Linked DNA regions of Mus musculus. The protein of the gene in region 1 purifies or fractionates together with the protein of each later gene. This does not show direct contact. Links are inferred from orthologs where the notes say so. Each region holds a gene or a part of one and is shown on either strand. Other genes may lie near its edges.

Region 1 (8,480 bases):
TGCCAGATAAAGATCTTTTTCAATTCTTTTCTTGTTTGCTAAGTTACTGATCCTAGGCCTAAGACTATATAATTAAAATGCCAGATAAAGATCTTTTTTCTTTTTTTGGGGGTGGGGTGGGGGGTTAGTTGGTTTTTTGTTGTTGTTGGGTTTTTTTGGGTTTTTTGGGGGGGGGTTGTTGTTTTTGGTTTTTTTTTTTCTGAGACAGGGTTTCTCTGTGTAGCCCTGGCTGGCCTAGAACTCACTCTGTAGATCAGGCTAGCCTCAAACTCAGAAATCCGCCTGCCTCTGCCTTCCAAGTGCTGGGATTAAAGGTGTGTGACACCATTGCTAAGCTCCAGATAAAGATCTTTTTCAATCCTTTTCTTGTTTGTTAAATTATTGATCCTAGGCCTAAGACTATAAGCATACTCAAATATCACAGTATAACCCAAGGTTAAAAACTGAGAGGCAGAGGCAGGAAGATCTTTGTGAGTTCAAGGCCAGCTCATAGAGAGTTCAGGCATAGATGCTGCCTCCAAAAACAATAGTGTTAATCTCATAACTACCTGTTTACAGATAAACCTAAGCCTCGTGTAGTAGAAATGTTGTTCCCTGAATCACACAGTTAGTATCTCAGAGCTAAAACCAGGACCATACTTTCTAGAACTCTCTAAACCAGTGCTCTCTCTGCTGCATCAAATGATGGTTTCCATATCCCTGATGCTTGGCATATCATGGAGCCTCACTTCCTTTTAAGGTAGCTGTCATTTATCTTTCTGTATCTATCATAGATTGGTATGCTTTACATTTAAACTGCAGTTGCATGAGTTTAATAGGCACCTAAACTGCATTAGGTACCAAACTTATTTTGGAAATAACCTAGTTTGCTTTTGGGAGTGGAAGAGAAAGCGTTAGTCCTGTTAGTGTATCATATAAATACACTATAAATACATTTATCTTATCAATGCTTAGCTATATATGCATAATCCCTTAAAATGCCTATTCAAAATATAGAGGCAGCACTTGTAAAAGCAGGTTGTTTTAGCTGATGTGATAGTGTGCACCTTTAATCCCATTGCTCAGGAGGCCAAGATCAACCTGGGCTACACAACAAAGTCCTGTTAAACAATAAGACAACAGTTGGCTGTTCCTTCTTTCAGTATTCTGTATATAATCAGAAAGTATGATCCTGAGCAGAGGCAGAGACTGTTGTTAATGGCTCAGCTCCACTGAGTGGGTAGAAACACAACCATGCAGTTTATTCACAAACTGAGCCTGATGCTTTTTCTGTTTGGTTTGGTTTGAGTTATGCCTTGCCATGTAGCACAGGCTAATTGTGTACTTGTCATTTTCTGCCCCAGCCTCCTGAGCACTGGAATCATAGGCCAGTGCCAATGTGACCGACCAGCAGTATGCTCACTAAGTTTTGACTGTACCGTCACCTCTTCCTTCTTTTCTCTCTTCCTCCCCTCCCCTTTCCCGTCCTGTCCTTTTTTCCTCAGAAATGGCTGGAGCCTTCGTGGCAGTGTTTTTACTAGCAATGTTTTATGAAGGACTCAAGATAGCCCGAGAGGGTCTGCTTCGAAAGTCTCAAGTCAGCATTCGCTACAATTCCATGCCTGTCCCAGGACCAAATGGAACCATCCTAATGGAGACACACAAAACTGTTGGGTAAGAAGATGCAACAGATCCAAAGGGAAATTCTAGAGATCTCTTAGTAATGTAGTAAGGCAGGCCTTCTTCTTCCGGAGTTGGTGATTCTAACTTTAGAAGTTCCAGGTTGTGGGCTATGGTATTTGGGATCCTGCAAAAGCACATACACGTTTGTTCTATGTTGTAAGTGTCACTCTGAAAGAAGTTTAACAGTATCTGGTTTTTAAAATATTTGCTATGTAGTAATGGGCATTTTAAGATATAGTTAAGATATAAAAGAATGGCAGAATGCGATTGATTCCTTCCTGTCGAGTTAAATCTAATCAGATATGATGGATGCCGGTAGTCCCAGCACTTGGAGAAGGCTGGAGGACCAGAATTCAAGGCTATCCTTGGCTACACAGTGAATTTGAGACCAGCTTGGGCTCATGAGACCCTGTCTCAAGGAAAAATCAAAAGTTCTTTACAGATGTGTGCGTGCGGGCGTCAGTTTCCAGGATAGCCGTGCTGCAGTCCAGTTAGGCTGTTCTCCTGAGCTGCAGGTGCCCAGGTCTGACTCTCCTTCTCTGCTTATCCCCAGGCAGCAGATGCTGAGCTTCCCCCACCTCCTGCAGACAGTGCTGCACATCATCCAGGTAGTCATCAGCTACTTCCTCATGCTCATCTTCATGACCTACAATGGGTACCTATGCATTGCAGTAGCAGCAGGGGCTGGGACGGGATACTTTCTCTTCAGCTGGAAGAAGGCAGTGGTGGTGGACATCACAGAGCACTGCCATTGATATCAGACTCCACATATGGCCTTATTAATTGCTGTAGGAAGCATCTTGGGACTGGAAGATATGATTCCCTTTCCAATCATCCCTTCTCTCTCCTGTCTATACATACACACCTACTGAATAGAAGCCTAGCTGACAGTCTCTGAATAGTGGTTTTTCTAATAAGATGAGATTTTTTTCTCTTGGGAAGTCACCTGTGAGATGTCTTCTCCCTCATCATCCTGAGCCTTATCTAATCCAGGTAGCTTCCTAGTTAAAGACTTGGTTATCTGCTTCTTTTTACTTCTCCAGGTTTTGATTTGTTTTGTTTTGTTTTATTTGCGGGGGGAGTGGGATACATTTTGTTTTAAACAGATATGTGTATTTGATAGGTGGGATTCTGGGTCAGTGATAAAAAAGGATTGTAACAGGATTGATGGCACTTAGGGACATCTCATCCAACCGGGACTTAAATTTCACACTAGAAATGAGCTCCAGTCTTAACTCAGTGAATGGGAAACACATGTTCCTCTCTCCAGGTTACACTGAAACCTGTGTAGTGTGTACAGAGTGGGTAGGGACTAAACACAGGCCTAGCGTCTATGAGTCTGTATTCCTGCTCAGTCATCAACTTGTGTTCCTATTGAACATTTGATCAGAATGAACTTGCCAATCAAAACAAAAACAGGACAATCAATTTAAGACAACAGAAATAGAGATTGTTAAATAAAACCATTAGTATTTTACTTTGACTCAGTACCTTGGTTTGTCCCAACTGAATAAGAGTTTGTATTGTGTGTGTGTTCCTTGAAACCAATGATTTTCAAACTTTACAGCTTCAGAATCACCCAGAGGGCTTGTTAAGACACTACTTGGTGGACCTCAACCCCAGAACCACCAAATTTGGCATTTCTAAGTTCCTAGGTGATGTTCTACTCACAGTCAGTCCAGAGGATTACCTTAAGAGTCTCTGCATTAAACTAGAAAAGTTGCACCTAGAAGGGACAGAGGGTGGGGCTACCTGCTATCAGGCATGAACATGTGAATTGCTGGTTAGTAGGTGGTATGCCTTGGGCACATGTCACATCTAAATGCTGCTGGTCGATACTTTATCATTCCACAAACATTTATTCACTTCCAAATATGTTTTATGTATACCCACATACAGTGTGTGGGATTACAGCCAAAGTATACTTGTCAACATATACGAAGTCTCTAGTCCTAACTTTTAAAGATCTAAGGTTCCTTGGAAGTTATTTGAAGGCCAAGAGACCTTTGCTCTGCTGTGTGAGTCAGCCAGTCAAAAGCCCAGAAAGGCAAAAACCCAGCTTTCTTGTTTGGAGAGACATGGGGCATGTGTCTGCCAATAGCCAGTTGTTCTCAGTGTGCACTATGTAGGTCCCCATCCACTACTTGACCACCTTTATCATTTACGGGGATTTACATAGATTACAGTGGCCAAGACCCCTTTCTCAATGAAGGATCTCATTGGACGTCCTGTCAATCATTAATCTACATGCAGGCTTGTTCCCACACTACCTCTTTAAAGCGATTCTTCCTATGCTGGTCTGTTCAATCCTGCCCTCTTTGGTGCTAGATCCAGTTGTGCCTCAGAGCAGAAGAAACAAACCTGCTGTCTTGTTGGCCCAGTGTTTCAGTTTTGAAGTGTGTACTTTCTCCTCTGTGTGTGCCAATTACATATTAGAGAACAAGGAATGTGTACTTTGGTGGCTTTGAACCAAGAAAAGGTTTTAAGCCTACTGGATGGAGTCTAAAATTCTTAGAAATCAACTTTAGAGCTTTGCTTTTCTCTGAGTTCATCCTGCAGTGAATGACAGGTACTGACAGCCCAACATTAAGGTGCAAATAGCCTGTTTGTCATATCAGAAGCCATGGAATAATAAACCCAGGGGAATCCAGAAACCACACTTAGTGGTAACCCTGGTGCTCTCTAGAATCTCCAAATGAGCTGCTATAAAACACCTTTCAGGGGCTGAGATGCAGCTCTGGTGTGAGTCACTTACCTAGCTTATGTCAGGCCCCTAAAAGTAATGCATAAACTGTCAGAATCGGGACCTTATCGTTGAGGTGAAAAGAACCAAGGCCCGTAGGAACAAGGTGCTATGAATCTGAAACCAAGAGAAACCTCAGTTTGGCATGGTTCTTCAGGGTAGCTTCCGAGTAGAAATAGTCTGCTGCAAATCCTAAACTTAAGATCCCTGCGCTAGGTTGCTAGAGACTGCGGTTAGTGCAGAACAGAGGTAAGCCTAAGTCCCATCCTCATGAACTTCAATGCCCAGCCTTTGTGTTTATTTTATCTAAATGTCTCCTTTCATCTGTGGGAAAGCTATAGCTGAGTGTCTTTAGCCCCTGCCCTACTTTTCCCTCTCTGACTTTTTTCCCAGGTAGCTTAGTGTTTAACATCTCTCTCACCATCCTGATGCAGTAGCATGGCTATTGCTGAGGTTATTTTACCTAATAATTAGAACTTTGTATTTACAAAGCAAGTAGAGGTCTTAAATTTGCTTCAAGAAGCAGTTGCTCCACTGGAATTTCTATAAAGCTGGGTAAAGGGTTAGCAGAATTACAGATCTTAAGTACTAACTGCAGTCCAAGATGGAAGAGTACTCAGCAGCCACTGCCCTCATCAGGAACCTCCTCGGCATCCATCAGTCTCCTCACTGCTCCTGTGCGCAGGGCTGTCCCTCCCACACTCCCTTCCAGGCCGTGGCCTTCGCTTCCTCATTAGAATCAGGAGAGTGAGGCACAGTGTCCATCATGCCATTTAATCTTGTGCCTGCCCTTTCCAGCCTCTTCAAAAGATGCATCCAAACAACAGGTCTGCATTTGATGTAATGCCTTAATTACTGGGGCCACATTCACGTTGACTGTCTCAGAGACTGTAAGCTCCCGGAGAGCAGGGTTGCTGTAATGGGAATGTTTAAGTGTTGTGTGCAAGAAAACAAAATAAATATTTTGATTTTCGTGATTCTATGCATGTCTGTCTACACACTGTCCAAATAAGCTGGTTCTGGGACGTCAGTCTCCTCCATGGCATGGCCTTGTTGCTCTCCTGCCACTCTTAAGCAGACCTGGTGCCTGCCACAGGGTCAGCATGACCTTGTGCATAGCACATAGCAGCAAATATTTCAGTATAGGAGCGATTCTTAAGTTCAGAAACTAACCTTTGCCGCCTTTCATCCGTAGTTCATAACCCCTGTGTTCATGCCATTAGGCGGCAGCACTAGCTTCCAGGAGGCTCCCGGGCAGACTGTGCCCATCCCTGTAGCAGAGGGGAAGTATTACTGTTAGTGGTCTAACCGCTGGCCCATCATCACCTCTTCTGCAATGCTGTGGTAAACATCACCTTTGGGGACAGCTGGCTCAAATCTAGGCTACACCACATAGGAACTGCTATCCTAACTGTCTCAAAGCCATTGATAGTCAAGTGTGGTGACACATACCTGTCCTTCCAGTGTTTGACGTTGAAGCAGAATGATCATGAGGAAAGACCTGGACTACTTAGTGAAAGGTCTTCAGTTTGGGGGTTCAAGGGAAAACAGGTGAATTTTCCTTTTGGGCCAGAAGTTTATTAATACCATAAAAACACAGACAGCAGCATGAGCAGCTCAGAGAGCTCAGGCCCTAACACCAGTAAGTCTACCTCTGCTTTCTGTGGCAGAGAGAAGGGAGGGAATTCTAAAAGAATGTGCCACTCAGGATATAGGGGAAATAAGGAGGAGAGGTACATACAGATGGCAAATGTGTCCCACCGGAGCCCCTCTACTATCCTAGAGTCTAGCAACCTGGTCTGTAAGTCAAAGGAAATGAAGTATAATCCTGACACCTGGGTGTGGTGTTTACAGACACTCCACAGCTTCTGTCTCTCCCTGTAGCAGCAGGGATCTCGGAACCAGCTATAAAGATAGAGACAGAGAGGACTGCAGGTGGGTATAATTGCAGGTGGGCCTGGGATTCTGCACAGCGAGGGACTCTGTTGCAAAAACAAATGGCTATGGGTGTAGCTCAGTTGGTTGAGAGCTTGCCTCGTATGCCTTTCTAAGCTCTAGGTCCAATCCCTAGCATGCCCTGCATGTGCATACACACAAAGAAGTACTAGCACCTATTTAAATTAAGAGTAATACAGATAAGGCATCCCACACAAGACAGGCACCCAAGCCTTACTACATTTTTCCTGTGTACTGATTATATTACACCTGAAGGCTTCAGGAAAATGAAAGGTCACTCTTCTGAATAAAGTGACCTCCTGGGTGCTGGTAGTCCCGAAACAAACAGATCCTAAGGAACACAGCATTGATACATATAATTTAGGTATGCCCAAAAAAGATTAGCAATTGCAGTAAGTCCTGGTCTACTGATGAATAATTGTCTCATTCTGTTAATAAGAAAGCATAGGGCTGGAGAGGTGGCTCAGTGGTTAAGAACACCGACTGCTCTTCTGAAGGTCCTGAGTTCAAATCCCAGCAACCACATGGTGGCTCAAAACCACCCGTAATGAGATCTGATGCCCTCTTCTGGTGCATCTGAAGACAGCTACAGTGTACTTAGATATAATAATAAATAAACCTTTAAAAAAAAAAAAAAAGAAAGCATAGAAAATCTTGGAAACTTGAAAATAGGAAATTTTCTCTCCCCCACACACTGCTTTCTTAAAGACTCAGCTGAGACCACTTAGAGAGCAATGTAGTTGAGGCCATTAGGAGCATGGGATTGGAAAGCAGGTGGCTCCACAGCTCCCACTTCGTGGCTGAGCTCTGGTTCGCATCTGCAAACTCAGAATGGTGTGCCCTCTCAGGAAGTAAGAGAGTCGGCACTCAGCACTCTCATACAGCCCTCTGCACGACAGCTGTCAGGACAAAGGGCAAAACACGAGGGAGGCACAAAAACAACTGTGGGGATCCTACTGGGGAGTTGCAGTGAAGGACTGAGGCAGGCAGGCAGATCCTTTCCTTTGTTTCCTTTGCCCGCTGGAAGGCCTTTGCAGGCTGCAATAATAAAGAGTCTTATGTACAGCCTGTGTCTTGGGGGTTTTATTGTGTTCTAAGACAGGAAGATAACAGGACTTAGAAGTCATCAATAAAACTAGAATAAAGGTTTTGTAGAAAAGCTTGGAGCAGAAGAGGGAACTATACATCTCCCTCTGTCTCTACCTTCCCATTCACATCACTCTTGAACTATCCAAAATCCTGGGTAAATCCCAGCTAAGGAGTTTCTTTGAAACTTGATTCCAGATGTTCTGGCTTCCACAGCTGGTGGTTCTGTCCCTGGGTTTTATGGTAAAAATAGGGCATGGTATGAAAGTATCCAGAGCAGCTCTCAGATGGGTGCTGCGCAAGTGAAGTCCCAAGTGAAGAACAGAATGTCTCTCACTGTACAGCTGTTTGTGCTTCCCCCCCCCCCCCCCCCGGTGTAAAGCTTCCTGGAAGTGGGTTTAATTCTGACAATCTGATCATTTGAATCCAGTCTCCAGTTTGTTTGTTTGTTTGTTTGTTTTTGACATTTTGAGACAGGGTTTTGCTCTGTAGCCCAGACTAGCCTTCGACTCTTTGAGATTCCTACTTCAGCCTCCCAAGTGCTGGATTGCAGCCTGAGCACACTCATCTGGGATCTCTGTTGCTTGAAGGATGGTCAGCAGACAGTGAATAAACAAGTCAGCCCAGGGGATCAACTGCAAGTGTTTGGGGCCTGGGGTCTTTTTGTAAAGACAAGGAGAATGATGTCACTTGTAGCAGTTACCTGTCAGAGCTGGCGATTAGCAGTGCTACTACCTTTAAGGACGTCTCACATTTTTTCCAAAAATAAATTTATTTTTAAAAACAAAAATCAGTTAAGCCTTCTGCGGTCCAACTTTCCAGGAAGAAGCCAGAATTTGGCTTCCAGCCAATCAGAAAGGTTGGACAGCAGTAATTTCACACAGAAGTCACCTCTCCCTGCAGGAGACAGAAAACCTTCTGCTTGGTTGCACACACTTAATTCTCTAAATCTGGTTGGTACTCCTGTCATCATTGTATTCTGTCCCAGGGGTCTGGCATACAAGAGAATCCATCTCTAAAATTCAAAGTTTCC
Region 2 (8,580 bases), on another chromosome or scaffold:
CCAGTGCGTGAGTAGCTGCTATGGTGGTAAGAAAATGGAGCAGAACTGAATTGACCACTTTCATTGCTACTAAAACAGACAGGGAATAGACAATGAGACAAGTAGAAGAGGCCCGTGGAAACTGTTTAAAAAGTAATGACAAAACAAAAAACAAAAACAAAAAAACCAGGTAGCTATGTTTGCTGTGTCTCCTAAGGTTTATGTGTTAAAGATGGAATTCCCAGTTCATACACGCCATGGCTAATCTCAACTATCAATTTAGTGAAATTGAGAATCACCTTGTAATAGGCCTTTGAGCATGCCTGTGGGAGACTGTCTTGATTTGATTAAGGGAGGTGGGAAGACCTGTCCACTATGGGTAACACCATTCCCTAAGCTGAAATCCTGGACCGGAGAGGTGAAAGTGAGGAGGGCACAGGCATTTGACAGTCCTTGCCACTACTGCCACTAGACATAATGTGACCAGCTGCTTCATGTTCCTGCTGCTGCTACGTCTTTGTCATGATAGATTGTAACTCAAAAATGTGAGTCAAAATAAAACCCTCCTTTAATTTGCTTTTGCCACAGTATTCATAGAGTCACAGGAAAAATAACTAAGATAATATGCTAACATTACTTAAAGGGTACCTAGGGAGTTACCTGGGATTAGGAACAATCATGAGGACATTAGCAGCTTTGAAGATTGCTGTCTTGTTATATGCTTCTTTAAACCTCAAAATGTCATATGTTTCATATTAAGTATAAAAACAGTCATAATGAAATATATTCAGAAATGTTGGATCAAATTAAGTCATGCTCATTTCTTTACTGAGCCATTAAATAGCCACTAAATAATAAAATACAGTACTACAATTGTCAGGAATGTCTTTGGGATCCATTTACTCTCTGAGCCTCTACGTTTAGCCGAGTATTATACTTAATTTTTCTCTTTGAATTAAAATGACTAGGAAGGAATCCAATTATTATACTTTTTAAAAAATGACAACTTGGAGCAATCTCAAAATTTGATTTGGAATGCCCAGCTTTGGCCCCAGTATAGCCAGTGACTAGTAGGACAACCTAGAGGTCTCTGAGTTCCAGGGCCCTCTCTACCCAGCCCAAGATTCCAGCAAGAGTGGTAGGGAAGGGCGTATGGAAAGCACGCTAGATATCAGGTCCATGTCACAAATCCTCTCTTTAGCTCTCCATACCCAGCTGTTGTACAAGTCTTCTTAAATATTTGTCACATTAACCTCACCCCTTCTCCATCTTATTTGCCTTAGTGGGGCCCTTCAACCTCTCCAGCCCTGATGAAGTTTTTTATGGAGGCCTGCTATTGTTACATTATGGGTATAGTATTGTTACATTATGGGCACGGTATTGTTACATTATGGGCATGATATTGTTACATTATTGCCTTTCTTCTTTGTAGTATTTCCCTTTAATTTTCTTCTCCCAGACTTTCCTATGTGGCAGGGAGTAAGAGAACTTAGTACCTTTCCTCAATATCTTGTAGTAGCTCAACTCCCATCAGTCATTTAACGTGGGACAGAGGCTATTTGCTTTAAGAATCTCATTTGCATTTTTAGGGTCTTGACTTTTGAGTTCACGCAACATGCTTTATCCAAATAAAGTAAACATTTACACATTATAAATTATACACATGAAAATAAACATGCACACTTCTTCTTTGGCTGAGATGTTCCTTTCCATGTTGTCTTCCAGTGAAACTTTTATATAACTTTTAAAAATTTCGTTCCTGTTTTTACTTCAAAAACCACTACTGACACTACAGCGAGGCAGTCATCTTTTGGGTTACCGCTAGGCTCTGTATAAATCTCCATCTCAGCATGTGGTGTCATGTGGAGGGTACCACTGCCAGATAGGAAAACACCATATTCTACTCAATTTGAAATCTGTAGTGCAAGGCTTGATAGTTGCTTCAGAATAGACTCTCAGCAGATATTAGTTGTCTGGATCCGGTGGCAGGAAGGATTCAAGAGTCTGGACAGGACACTTAAGGCTTTGTTGTTCCTAATTACCTGTGTGACTTAGAAGTGTTTGGTGTTTCAGGTTCCTTAATCTGTATTATGAGGAAACAGAACCAGATTTTCTAAAAGGGACTCTGTAGCTTTAACAGCTAACATGACTTTCTATTAGAGGTTATTGCCTTGTCAAAGAATGATTTTTAAAAATAAAACAATTTTGAAAAAGGGAGAGATTTCAAAGAAAAACTTGAATTTCCTCTGTATCTTGGAAAACATACAATGTCACTATGATGGACTAATACTTCTAAAAGTTCACAGTGGAGATGATAGGTAGAACTCAGGGGTAGATCAACTACCTGAAATGTGAGGCCTTGGGTTTGATCCCTCATTCCTCAAAACAAAACCACAAACAACCCGGGACAATGATACAGGTCTGTACTCTGAACGATGAGGCAGGTTGCAAGTTCAAGGTCTACCTGGATTACAGAGTGAGTTCAAGGTTAATATCTGGGTAACCTGTGTAGACTTTGTTTCAAAAACAACAACAACAACAACAAAAACCACTGGAGATAGAGGACAGAGTGAAGGCCTCTCATGTCCAAGGACCTTGGTTCAATTTCCAGTGCTGGACAAAACAGCAAACCTCAACAGTTCACCATGGCCCGAGCTGAATCACATGACTTTAAATGAGTACATGTTCTTTGATCCACTGGGTGGATCCTACTGAGAAGACGCTGTGTTTGAGTCTGACCTAAGTCATCTACGTATGCTTGCAGGTGTAAAACCAACCAACATACAGTTTGCTCTGTGGTTCTGATTCACAATAGTATGGATTCCCCCTACCTCCACTTGAAGTCTATCGAACTTTTGGTATCATGTGTTTTCATGCTCTTTCCAGAAATAACACCATCTTAATTATAGGCAAATCCAAGGCAATCTATTCTAATTAATTTGGCAAAGTATTTCTTTCACATGAACAACTGATGTTTCTCATCCGAGAGGTCACATGCTTGAAGAGTTATTGTTGGAACAGTGTGTGCTCTTAAAGCCTGGGAAAACCACATCCTGTATTTCAAGGATGCGATACCAACTATGAGCCAGGAAAACATCTTTATCAAGTGGGCATTAGGAGATTATCTTTCATTTATCCTTCCGGGGCTTTAGCTAGGATTGCCTTGACATTTTTGCAGTGACATTTTAAAAATGGAGTTGTCAAGTCTACCACAGAGCTGAGGGTTAGGAAACAGAACCTTTAAAAGCTGAGAGTGCTCCCTCAGTCCAGGGAGTCTGGCGCCTCCGAATAAAGAACCCAGCTCTTCTCTATTGTATTGCTTCCTCTTCTGTTGCCCATAGACATCACTTTGTCACCCATCAGAGCTTGGCTCCCCAGCAATTTTGCCAGTCCCTCCAAGCTTCAGCTGTCACTGGCCAATGGGAGAGACGCAAGCCCCGCCTCCTCCTTCCTGGGGCTGTGCCCCGAGCATGCGCAGTGGGCGTGCTTGTGCCGCCGCCCATCAGCTGAGACCGGCTGCGCCAGGCAGTGGGCCCCCGGGTGACAGCGGCTGGAGGTGGCCGAGGAAGCCGGCGAGGTCAGGGTAAGAGGAGACTGCAGAGGCGGGGGAGAGGGGGGCGGGAGGGACACCTCAGAACTGCAGCTCGCTAGTGGTTGCTTTGGGGTGCGCAGAGCGGGGCTCCCCAGGGCGCAGGGCCGGCGCCTCCCTCTCGGGCTCCCACGCCCCGCTCCGGACTCCGGGACGCGACGTGCGAGCACCGGGGCGCGCGGCAATGGAGCCTTGGGGACCGGATACTACCGCCAGATCCTGGCAGGCTACGACCGTGTTCCCATTCTCTGTCAACTTCTCCTCCGAAGAACAGAAAGGGAAACGCGATGGGCCCTGGTCATCTGGCCACAGGTTCGTTCCGCGGCCCAGGGCCTTTGCTTGGCTGTTGGCCTTACTCACACAAGCTAACTTTCTTTGACCTACCTTGTGCTCGTTTCAATTGATTTATGCAAGACACATAACAAGGTAACAAGGTATTTCGAGAATTCGCATATGTGTTTTCTAGGTTAAATTCAGACCAAAAAAAAAAAAAAAGCTTGGACGAGGGTGGGAAGAGGAAGGAAGCTTTACAGTCAAATGCTAATTTTTCCTTATAGCTGTTAAAATTTTGCTTGCATTTTATATGCATATATCAATTTTTGATTGCGTCAGATCTCGTATTTTGTCAGGAATTATTATTTACAAGTTTTCCACAATCAGGAAAATAAAAGGAATTAACTGTGAAACACTGGTTTGGTCCTGTTGGAGGTAGGCATTTCTTTTAGGTGTACTCTGAGCCGCAGTGAACAGAGATTGATAACACTGTTAAATTGTGCCTTGTGGTGCCGATGGGTCTTCGGCTTTGCAAGCTGCTTTCGAAGTTGGCCCCCAGGCTTGTGACTAGTTAAGAACGAGGCTGTAGTTTCCCAGTGTCTGGGGAAGTTAATAGAACACAGTATTAACTCACTGACCTCTGGGTTCTTTTCCTTCAGCTAGCTCACTTCTTATGCTGCTCCTGATTAACAGTCGTTTCTAATTCTGATTATTATCCCAAGTTCATCCATACGCTGCTGGTGGAAAATTATGAATAATTATGTTGAGCTATATGCCACTAAATGGTGTGTGCACAAGGCCCTGGTTCAGTCCCCAGTACTGCAGGGAAATATTACCTCTATGTCTACTAGTACTGCTAGATAAAACTCCCACAGTTAAGTCTGTGTGGATTTTTCTCTGGTTCAGTGTAACTTGAAATATTAATGTGTGAAACTGTGGAGGAAAAAAAATCTTGGTTAATTAAGCTGAAACCAAACAGTGTAGCGTTTGGATTGATGAAGGAGCTGGGCAAAGATGCACTTGTGGACCGAATACTCATATGGAAGATTGAGCACCCTCATGATTGATTGTCTCCTATGATTCCTCTCCTGTTTGTTTTAGGAATTGAAAACAAAGAGTGTGAATGCTCCCATCTTCTAAGTATGATGCATCGCTTGAAGTAGAAGTTACATTGATAGAGACTTCTCATTTCAGACCTGGCATCTTTAGTGTGTGATAACACCTTACTGAGACAAAGAGCTAGTCCTCAAAGGGGCTGGGTGTGTATCATGGAAAGGGCCATCTACAGATAGAAAGGGACACTGAGAAAAGCCCAGGTAGCAATAAGCCTGAAACAGTATTTTAGAAATGTTTATATTTACTCTTAGGCTGGGCATGTGTTCATAGGAAATCGGTACACTTGTTCATTCAGACTTACAACATTTATTCAGGATCTACTTTGTAGCCAAGTACTTAGAGAATAGACTAAGTCCAAGATTTACACTCCCCCACACACCACACATACACACACACACAAACACACACATACACACAGCACACACACACACCATACACACACTCCACACGTACACACCACACCCCACACACACATATACACCACACACGCAATACACTGCACACACATACCACACACACTCACACACCATACACACACATCATACACACCACACACACACACACACACACACACACACACACACACACACACAAAAATTAAAACCTGGGGAACAAAGGAGGAAACTCATATTTTATGCTGGGCTTCATGATTAAGAAAGTGAAACTGACCATTTGATTTGAGCAGGCTAAATTTTAAGCCAGTGTCTGCTCAGAGGAAGTCTTCAAGATTCTACAGTATGTCCATTAGTAACTACAGGGTAGTGTTTTACATTCAAGACTCTGTATCAAAATCCCCTTTGTTCATTTTTAAATTGCCCTTTCCACACAGTCTTGAGACAGCGCTCACTATAGGTGTTACTGTTTGACTCTCCCGTCTCCTCTTTCACCTTAGTGTTTATCTTCATAAAAAGATAATTACTGAGCTGTTGAGTTGAACCCTGCCCAGTAGTACTTTCTGTGGGGGATGAAGGGAATATGTGAGCTGTCCCAGCTGCTGGCCACTGGCCACATACAGTTTCTTAGCACTTGAAAGGTGGCCGAGGTGGCCTTCTTCTACCTTAGTTCATTTTGATAGTTGTGTGCAGGCAGTGCAGGTGCACATGAGGAGTGATGTAATTATTTTGAGCAAAGACACTAGGACACAAATGCTTTGAGTATTGCAGCTCAAGCTAGGCAATGCAGATGGTTATAGAGTACAAACATTTTATAAGCATAGAGTTAATTAGCTCACATGTAAAAACAGACTTCAGAGCCATTTGTCAATAACTGTCTATAAACATAAGTGTTTATTTCTTTCCAACAAAGGTAACCACTGTCCTGGTTGTTCTGTGTTTTATCTGAAGAGCCAACTCTTATCTTTTAAACGTCATCATAGCCTAACAGGACAGAAAGGGAGAGTGCCACTCAGAAGTGTTACCTCCATCCAGGCTTGTTTCCTTGATGTGAAGAAATTACCCCTGGGCCTGCAGCAAGGTAGCAAGTTTGGTTGTGTAGTTGCCCAGGTCCACCTGTGCTAAGTTGTTCTACAGAAGCAATGGGGTTTAGTCTAGTGTTTGTGACAATGTGAGCTTCCAGATTTACTTTCAGAGTTTAAATCCTCTGTTCATCTCAGCAATGCCTCCATTTCTTTGTGAAAAACTACAGTAGCAGTTATGCCTCCTGCAGAGCCTTTCGACATTGAGGGACACAGCCATAAAAGTCACCACATACAGGAAATTCCTTTCTCAAATTCCTGTTCACCACTCGAGACAGAACCGGGGTGGTCATCTCCATACCCCTTCTCTAGGTAGGTAAGCTACACATAGATGAAAAGGGGAAGCTCTTAGAATGGGTGAAGCCCACATGTCTCACCAACAGCCGCATCCTCTAGTTTGCTTGGGTACAGAGATGAGAACAGCTGGCTGTGCATGTGACTGTCTGACTTAAATTATGGGAAGAAAAAAAACCCTTTAAAGGAAAACACTGAGAAGCTTTGGACTATATGTGTATGAATTTTGAGAAGAGAAAGCTGGAATCCTTTGCAAGAATTAACGGTATTCTGACATTAGTCTCTGTGTGAGGGGTGTAGGTTCAGGGCAGTTTATGGCTGCATGCCTCTGATGAGAGCCCACAGGTGCAGGAGCACATCAGACCTGTCCTCTGTGTACAGTAACAAAGCACTTGGTCCCATTATCTTATTTTGATCTTGGCAGGAGGCCCAGATGCTAAGGATCTTGCCCAAGGTAGAGATTTCTGGTTGCCAGTTATCCTGGCAACTGAACAGTCAGGTGATGAGTTCTAGTAACTTCAAAGATATAGGAGAGAGGGAGGGAGGAAGGGAAGGAGAGGGAGAGGGAGGGGAAGGGGGAGGGGGAGGGAGAGAGGGAGGGAGAGGGAGGGGAGAGAGAGAGAGAGAGAGAGAGAGAGAGAGAGAGAGAGAGAGAGAAAACATTAAAGGTGTCTTTTGTAGGTAGAGATGTGAGACTTATTCGTGCCCATGGTTACAGGAGAAGTTACTCACAGGGTGTTGGTGTAAACTGAGAGCACTTTTAGAAGCCTGATGATGCCACTGATCCAAGAGAAAATTGTCTTTATCCATTTAGTATATTATTTGTCAATAAAAGGCATTGAGATACTCACAGATCCTACAAGGATCTTGAAAATACATAGAAGACAAACAAGTCAGTCACAGAGAAAACACACACACACACACACACACACACACACATACATATATAAAACATTCCACTCATGTGAAACATCTAGAATACAAAAACATACCAAGTGGATTAATGGTTCTAATGGCTGAAAGGTTGGGCACAAACAGGAGATGAAAAATGATGGGAAAGAACTTTCTTCTCAGAGTAATATGCATTATAAAAGTCACACATTGATTATCACAGACCTTTGTTATCACATTAAAACCATTGGATTATATGATCTGAATGGTTACAGTTGTATATGAATTATATCTTAATAAAGACCTGTTTTAAAAGGATGGGATTAGCAAAATGGCTCAGCAGGTAAGGGCACTTGTTCCTCAGCCTGATGACCTGAGGTTAGTCTCCAGGGCACACATGGTGGGAGGGGAGAAACAGCTCTGGAAAGTTGTTCTTTGGATGTGATAGGGTGTTTCCCAGAGGGAGGGAAACCGGGATAACATTTGAAATGTAAATAAAGAAAATAGCCAAGAAAAAAAAAAAAAGAAATTGTTCTTTGGTCTTGATGCACTCACAGTAGCATGTGTGTCACACACACACACACACACACACACACAATGTAAAGATATAATTGATTTGTAGACTGCATAGAACGTTGCCAGGGAAGTTGATGCTGCAGGCTAAAGCTTGAGTTTGAGATTGAGCACAAGCTAAGTGGCTCCTGTGCTGGGATTGCAGGTATAGAACATGACACCTAGCTTTTCAGAACTGCCCTACTCAGTTTCGCCCAGCTCTTTCCATGGCTGCAGTCCTAACTCAATGCTTCCCAGAAGGCAGCTTATTCCTGCTACACTGCCATCGGGGGCCAGCTGTTAGTTACGTTTTTGACTTTGCTTTTAAGTTGGTTGAGTCTATATCCTCGACCTGGTTTGTGTAGAGCAAGGACGGAGAGTGGAGAAGACACCAGAGCTCCTGAGACTGTCT

The links.
Region 2: the proteins of Slc31a1 (region 1) and Stx7 purify together in Homo sapiens (affinity purification with mass spectrometry; 3 studies listed by BioGRID and IntAct, counting the BioPlex papers as one, with this or other methods). This does not show direct contact. The link is inferred for Mus musculus from reciprocal best matches to the Homo sapiens genes SLC31A1 and STX7.

Annotation. Positions count from the first base shown.
Region 1 is NC_000070.6:62,386,383-62,394,862, forward strand, and holds the end of Slc31a1 (high affinity copper uptake protein 1), read left to right. Parts: intron 1-1,484; coding exon 1,485-1,653; intron 1,654-2,215; coding exon 2,216-2,417; 3' UTR 2,418-5,387; downstream 5,388-8,480. Other genes in the region: anaphase-promoting complex subunit CDC26, read right to left, coding at 8,463-8,480.
Region 2 is NC_000076.6:24,145,847-24,154,426, forward strand, and holds the start of Stx7 (syntaxin-7), read left to right. Parts: upstream 1-3,442; 5' UTR 3,443-3,562; exon of another isoform or gene 3,563-3,880; intron 3,881-8,580. UniProt on the Homo sapiens protein: May be involved in protein trafficking from the plasma membrane to the early endosome (EE) as well as in homotypic fusion of endocytic organelles. Mediates the endocytic trafficking from early endosomes to late endosomes and lysosomes.